Linked DNA regions of Schizosaccharomyces pombe. The gene in region 1 interacts genetically with each later gene. Each region holds a gene or a part of one and is shown on either strand. Other genes may lie near its edges. The genes, in order: SPOM_SPAC27F1.05C and SPOM_SPBC15C4.06C.

What was found.
Region 2: mutations in SPOM_SPAC27F1.05C (region 1) and SPOM_SPBC15C4.06C together harm fitness less than expected from each alone (positive genetic interaction), as found in Schizosaccharomyces pombe (one large-scale study listed by BioGRID).

The regions. Positions count from the first base shown.
Region 1 is NC_003424.3:4,323,345-4,327,277, reverse strand, and holds SPOM_SPAC27F1.05C (aminotransferase), read left to right. Parts: upstream 1-2,002; 5' UTR 2,003-2,171; coding exon 2,172-3,626; 3' UTR 3,627-3,854; downstream 3,855-3,933. Other genes in the region: SPOM_SPAC27F1.10 (uncharacterized protein), read left to right, coding at 485-790.
Region 2 is NC_003423.3:2,251,688-2,255,620, forward strand, and holds the start of SPOM_SPBC15C4.06C (ubiquitin-protein ligase E3), read right to left. Parts: upstream 2,024-3,933; 5' UTR 1,720-2,023; coding exon 49-1,719; 3' UTR 1-48. Other genes in the region: SAGA complex/transcription factor TFIID complex subunit Taf10, read left to right, coding at 3,515-3,933.

The DNA.
Region 1 (3,933 bases):
TGTAGTTTGGTTCATAAAAAAATTATGGTTTAGTTGGGTCTGGAAATTACGGAATAGCAAATTTTTTGAATATTATTCGAATTATTTTGAGGTAAAGTAAGCACTCTAGTAGAAATATGTATGTTACTGAGACAACTAATTGGTCGCAGTAAGGTGAGGATCTTGAGCACTCTTTTAAACTGATGATAGAATTAGATGTGTGAGCAATAATGGGCATCAGAATAAATAAAACACTTTTTTTATTAGTCGTTGTCTTGAAACATGAGTGAGGGAAAGCACAATCGCTACTAGTTATCTACGGATATTTGGTGGAGCCACTAGAAAATTTTGTATTTGTGAATTTATTATATGAAGAAGGCTACTAAATACTCTTATTCCCTCAATTTTTTAATTGAGATTTCATAATTGGTTTTCGCGATATCTCTCATGTATTTTATCTACTGCAAGTTGATTTAGAATAAAAAAAGAAATTATACATAGTAGGATGCAATTAACTGGATCGATCTACCCATGGTTTACTGCGTATGCTTTATTGAAATCCACGCTGATGGAACTCATCAATTCGTTTATACCGTACAAATCTCAAACTGGAAAGGCACCAAAGTGTCTGGTTCCTTATTGGCTTTCAATTCGTCTAAGTTTACTTTACTTTAAATTGACAGAGGCGATATCATTTACCGAGAAGTGCGAAAAATATAATATTAGCTTATTTGATTCAACTTTTGTATTTGGCTATATCGTTAACTGCTTTTTTATTATTCATTTAAACACGTTCCTTACATCACAGTGAATCAATAGATGCTTTGTTCTATACCGAACGTCTTTATTTTTATAAGTCACTATGAATTCTTTCTCCGATTTTATAATCACTTTCCAAGTTATGTATTTACTGCATTTCCTGGGCTTTTTGCATCAACATTGTAAACTGGATCGGACTATTCAATACCAACAAATACGATAGATCACTGTGTTGGCTTTGCGACACATCTTTATTTCCTCTTTCATTTTCGGCTACACCAAGTTCGGCCAACATTCACTCCGCGGTATCTTTAGATTACAAAGCTGAGCCGAATACGGGGATCTCAAAGTATATCAAGATCTACGAGATGCGCAGTGTGTAGAGAGTTACAGATTATAGCAGGAATGAAATTTCAATTTCTATCTCTAGGAAATTTAAGGCTCGGCGGTATTATCGCGACGGTCAAAAGAACTGATCGTTATATGAATATGAGATGATTTAATACATTTTATTAATTTTGAATTTATTAGATAAACTGATTCAGACAGAAAGCTGTCATTTATATCTTATTGTGACCTTTATAATTTATAATTTATTTATTTATTTTTGCTTTACAATTTATTATCCTAAAGACTGTATACGACAAGTGACAAATATTATTTTCATTTTTATCGTTTTAATATATCTATATTTATTTTATATTTAAAATTAAATATCCAGACACAGCTGAATGCCCTTTTTTAAACATTTTCCAATTAATTCATAAATAAATAAAAATTATTAAAAAAAAAACATGTAACCTTTATTACATAGATATCCACAATCAACACCAGTTTTATTTCAATAAATTAAATCACATAGTTTGATTCAATCTAATCTTTTTAATTAATTATTATTATTATTATTTTTTTTTTGCTTACTTTATCCTATGTAAAATAGTTCTGCGCAATCATTTGTTTCTGCTCCAACATTATTATTAGCGCCAAAGCTTTTTTGAACTAAATACACTTCATTGCATGATATTTTTTCTTGAATTCTTATAATTGAGACCAATTCTGTAATGATCAAATATTAGAGTATATCTTCTTCTCGGTTCTGCCCGTCGGCCAACTCGAAGGCTGTAGTACGCTAATTGCTATCTGGGCAGTACGACTTTGATCGGGGGATGTGAGAGAGGTAATAGCCATTTTTCGGTCAAGTACATAGGAATATGGCATTGATGATTTTTACTATATATATAGGCTAAAGCTGCCTGTGAATGCCAACAATTGTAAAAGGTTAACATTCATTCGACCTTTTCTTCAATCTAAGGAGTGGATTATACAAGGTAACCATATACTGTAAAGATTCATTTGGAAATTACATTTAAGAAGCTTTGAGTTAAGAACTATCTTTCCTGCTCGTTTATTTACGTTAAATTTACGCACTTATCATGATTGATTCCACGTCCACTGCTACTGCTACCTCAAAGACGGTTGAACTTAACACAAATGGTTCAAAAACCGATGCCTCCTCCGAAAATGGAACAGCCAGCAATTATCCTGAGGGTTTGTGGTGCTTCGACGAAGCCATGAAAATGGACCCAGAAACGACTGTCAAGTTACAACTCGACCACTTAAACAAGTTACGCACTGTCCATGGCCACGCTCGCAATTTTGTGAAAGCTGATAATTCTCGTTTTGTTGATGAAAAGGGTACTGAGCATCTGGACTTAATTGGAGGCGTTGGAGTCGTAACGGTCGGTAACAACAATCAGTATGTTTGGGATTGCTTACAGAAATGCTTTGATGCCAAGTTATATATGATGGGTGCCATTTCCTATCGTAACCTTGCAGCTGCCTTTGGTCGCAATATGGCTTTGCTATCTCCTGGTCAAAAACTTACTCGCACATGGACTGCAACCGGTGGTGCTGAAGCTAATGAGGGAGTTATTAAATTGATTCGCCTTGCTACCCGTTATAAGCCTAACAAGAAAAAGTTTCTTTCTACTTTGAACTCTTTCCATGGTAAAACCACTGGTGCCGTCTTTTTAGGCGGCAAAGAAAAATGGCAAAAATATCAAAGTCCTGCTCCTTTCGACGTTGACTACGTCCCTTACGGTGATGCGGAAGCACTTCAAGTTGCCTTATCCTCTGGTATGTACCGTTCATTCATTGTTGAGCCTATTCAAGGCGAAGGTGGTGTTATTGTCCCTCCTCCAGGTTATCTTGCAAAGGCTCGTGAACTTTGCACTAAGTACGATACATATCTCGTTTTAGACGAAATTCAAACCGGTTGTGGTCGTACCGGTAAATTCTGGGCCTGTGAATACGAAAACATCATTCCGGATTGTATCGCTTTCGCCAAAGGATTTTCAGGCGGACTCATTCCATTTGCAGGGTATATCGCTACAGAGGAGCTTTGGAATGCTGCTTACAATTCCCTTGAAACGGCTTTTCTGCACACTGCCACTTATCAAGAAAACACTCTTGGACTTGCCGCCGGTGTTGCTACCATCGATTATATCGTGCAAAACGACCTTCTTTCTAGATGCCGCAAGTTAGGTGGTATCATGTTTGATCGTCTTAATAAACTTCAAACAAAATTCCCTCATGTTATGAAGGATGTTCGTGGTCGAGGAATGATAGTTGGTATTGAATTTTATCCCATTCCTGAGTCAGTTCAAGAAGAATTCGGCGAATACTATGCAACTCCTATTGTCAATGACCTTGCCGATACATATCACGTCCAAGTCTACTGTTCACTCAATAATCCTTCAGTTTTCCGCTTCCTTCCTCCTTTAACTATTCCAGAAGCCGACTTAGACGAAGGTTTGTCAGCCGTTGAATCTGCTGTTGCAAAGTTTGATGCTAAGGTTAAGGAAGCTGTTGCAGCCAAGTCAACCTAAAACTTTGGTTTCATCTATCATTAGCCCTTTCAGGCTTTTAGTAAAGTTGGGTCATCAGGCATAAATGTTAATTTTTTTATCTTCTTATCTAGTTTCAGCTTTTATATGCTCCTTATATTGTTTCTTGCTTACATGCAACGTTTGAGATAAACCATCGATTGTAAAATTATATAAACTATATAGAACTATTTTAAATCAAATCGTTCACTTTTTAAAAAAGATATATAAAACGGAGTTGTTAATTTACTATGTATGACAGAAGAAAAACTTATACGAAATTCAGCTTTGTTCTTGATTTTTTAAAAAG
Region 2 (3,933 bases), on another chromosome or scaffold:
AAGTACAGGAATTACTCAACCAATGGAGAAAATTCATAAATATGCAGTTTAAACATTGTCCTCGGAAGCATTTTCCAACATGTTTGTAACTGACTGTTTACATAGGGGACAAAGATCCGAATTTTTTAATAAATAAGGATCAATGCAAGCCGGATGAAAGATGTGATGGCATGGCAGTTCTCGATAAAGAGGACTTTCTTCTGAATACTCACACAAGCAAATAGTACACTCCCTCTGATCGAAATACTTACTCCCTCTTTCGGCTGTAGTAACCACATTTCCCTGTCCATCAAAACTTTCTGATTTGTCTAATTTCCAATCCTTTTCATAAACCAACTCATCATTAGGATTGGCAAGATGAGGCCCCGAAAACATTCTAACGGGCAAAGTATCGAGCATTTCTTTAGTAACACGATTTTCTGGTTTGTTTGGTCCAATATTCACAATTCTTTCTTGAACAGGAATTCCATGACGATTTAAGAGTCTATAAAATCCATTCATTGCACCAGAAAAGTGAAGGCAAATAAAAAGGCCTATGACACCGATTAAACCCAATAACACACCAATGAATATATAGAGGCCAAGTAGCTTTGGTTCCTTGCTGATGATAACGCCCAAACGGGCCGTAGCATCAATGTTTCCAAAATATTCGACTAATGCTCCACCATCCTGCACCGAATTTAAAGAAGAAGCCGAGTATTCGTTGAGAATCTTTTCAAAAGCGATGCCGTTTTCGTAAGATATGAGTGCCATTGGTAATGTTTCAAAGGTAATCATATCTACAGCATCTTCAAAGTGGTCAAAATTGGTTAATGAATTACTAGCAGTGCTTGCATTATAAAATAGTATTGCCTTTGCTCTATCCTGGACAGCCTGCAATACATGCATTGGAGCACAATAGTCAAACGGCGCGAATGCGATTAAGCCAGAACTTCCCATATTAGAAACATCTCTAAACCATACGCTTCCCTTGGTATCAACTTGAAGTGACTCGGTGTCATTGCAGCTACCATAAGGAGTAGTTTTATATATAATTCCACGAAAATTATTCTTCAGTTTAGACAAGCTTTTGTAATACTCATTCAAAAGGACCGTGTTGTCAGAGTGGAAGTAAAATGAGACATTTTTTGGAAGATTTGAAACAACATTCTTGTTGTTTTTAACAATAAGAGTAGTTATGGTTAGCGGAAAGAACTGATTGTATTCGACAGCATTCATAATAATAGATGAATTTCCGTAATATGAAAGACCAGAGCTAACATAATTAGATATTGCAGTATTTGGAGCATTGCTGGAATAAGCAGGGTAATAATCATCATACAAGGAGATTGAACCAGAAGTAGAGGACGACCTTGCAGAACTAGTACTAGAATCTGAATAAGATTTGGGATTTGATTCACTGGAAACAGAATCCGAGTCTGATTCACTAGAACTGGACATAGAATCTGATTCATCATGACTAGATCTTGAAGAAGAAGTGTGTTCACTAGCATGCCCACTAGTATGGCCTCTTCTTAATGATCTAAATGAATAAGAGATTGGAGTTGGCGAGATACTTTCGTCCTTTGGCATTCGATATCGCCTTCTTTCATTCCATAGTTTACGAATTGCATTAAACAGCCGCTTTCTCCTCTTTACCTTATTCTCTTGTGAAACATAGCCTCTGTAAACTGCATTGCAATCCAGATGATCAAGCAACTGGTTATTACACAGATGCATAAGAACCTAAACAAACTTTAAGGCACGAAGAAACACAAAGAACTAGGAAACAGGAGGTTTCAAGATTACCAAAAAACAAACCTGCTTTGATACCAATCTTTCTAAATAATGAATCAAATTTAATGGTAATTGAAAGGTAAGCTTTCAATCAATAAACAGACGTTGAGTGGTGATATCTCTAAAGCAGGAATTGTGGAACACAATTAATGAAATTTTTTAAAGGAAATTTCAAAAAATTAGAAAGTAAAAAGTGTGATTCTTTTAACTTATACTAGCTCAAGCTTGAAAACCACAAATTGGTGGTGGCTAAGTAATGAACATCTTGAGACATATTGCGTACATAGTACACAATACATGTGATATACATGTGGAAAGCAATTGTTATTATATTTTCACTATGAGCAGTATACTTCAGTGAAGAAGTTTTTTAATGAAGGAAAAACTATGAAACAAACAAAGCATAAAGTGCAGGGCGAGAAAAACAATCGTGAAATAAAACAGCTTATTTGTGTTTGGTGATTCGACAAGCGCTTTAAACAGGTGTGAGAAACTAAATAATAATAAATGGTAATTATAAGAAATAAAAAAACGAAGAAGTGATACTTCAAAAAGGTAAGCATAGCTGGAGAATTAATGATCAGAGAGAACTATAATAAATAAATAAAAAAAGGATCGCTTAGCGATCAATTAAACAATAAGATATCCTCCTTAAACATAAGAAGCAATTTACTAGGAATACGTTATAGGATTTAATGTTGTTTGAGTATACTTTGTAAACTAGTATAAGGATATAATTATTGTGATATGCTACCTCGTAATTTAGTATAATTTTATGGAGTTCGTTTAGTACAGCGGTTACATATTTGTTTAAGAAGGCTAAGATATAATATACTATATAATTTTATATTTTACTGTATTAACTTACAACTGAACTAGGAAAGGGTAGTTTGTTCGGTTGAGATATTTCTTCAATAATTGTATTTTCCTAAAGATGTTTTACTCGTCCTGATCATTAAAGATCAGTAGTATGGATCCGACAGTTTTGAAATGAAAATAACAATAATTAGTAGTGATATCTAATGTAGCTTTGATCTGGCTTAGCAATACATTATTGGTAAAGTATGGGGAAATGGATTATGTAGTTTGTTATGAGAAATAAAAAATGTGCACCAAATTAATCTCAAATATCCTTTCTTTGCGTAGTAAATTTTTTTATTTGTTTTAAACACATATTAACTGGAAGTCATGTTTGCGCAAACTTTAAAATGCTCATCTCAGCAAATGAATAACATTGTAGTTTGAGAATAATAATTACTTTTGAATACATATGTTCAAGTCCAAGAAGGCTGCCATTCAACTCTAAACTGAACATTTGCTTATAGAAGCAAAAATTGTAGTAGATACCAACTTCGCTCCGAACTCTATATAATACCGATTTTAAACAACACTTTTTACCAGAAGTTAATTAATCTTATATATTAATTTCTATTATTCAACTAGCATTATTCCAAGAATTGGAATTATTTACTTTTCGATCTTAGCCCTTATATACGTAAATAACAATGCTACTTTACCACGAATACAGAATATAGTCCACCTCCACCATCCCTATTTTAGTTGGCCTAGTGGTTTCTTGAAACACTGGATTAAAGTATTAAAAGTTAAGTCCATAAGCTAGGGAAATAAATTTCCTATTATTTCCAATAAGTCGAACGATAAATCAAGGAACCACGGATTTGAATCAAGTTGCAGAAAGACATTCTTTGCTTTACAACATCGGTCAAATAAAGAAAGAATGAGTGACATTAACAATAATGAGCCAGCTGAAAATATTGAACAGCCCAAGCAAGAACCAGAAGATGGAAATAATTCGATGAGTGTTGATGAACAACCCGAAACGTCTTCCACAAATCTGCCAACTGGTGACAATCTCGCCCCAATGAGTGTAGAATCCCCTGCACATTTAAATAACGAGGATTCTCCCAAAAGCGATGATTCTAGAGAAAGGCATGGCTCGAATTATGTTATAGAACCGCATTTAGAATTGCGAGATATGGCCAAAGACAAAACACTTGAAAATTTCTTGGCCCAAATGGATGATTACTCTCCCTTAATTCCAGATGTGTTATTGGATTATTACCTCAGTTTATCTGGATTTAAATGTGTTGACCCACGCTTAAAAAAGCTTCTTGGTCTTACAGCTCAAAAATTTAT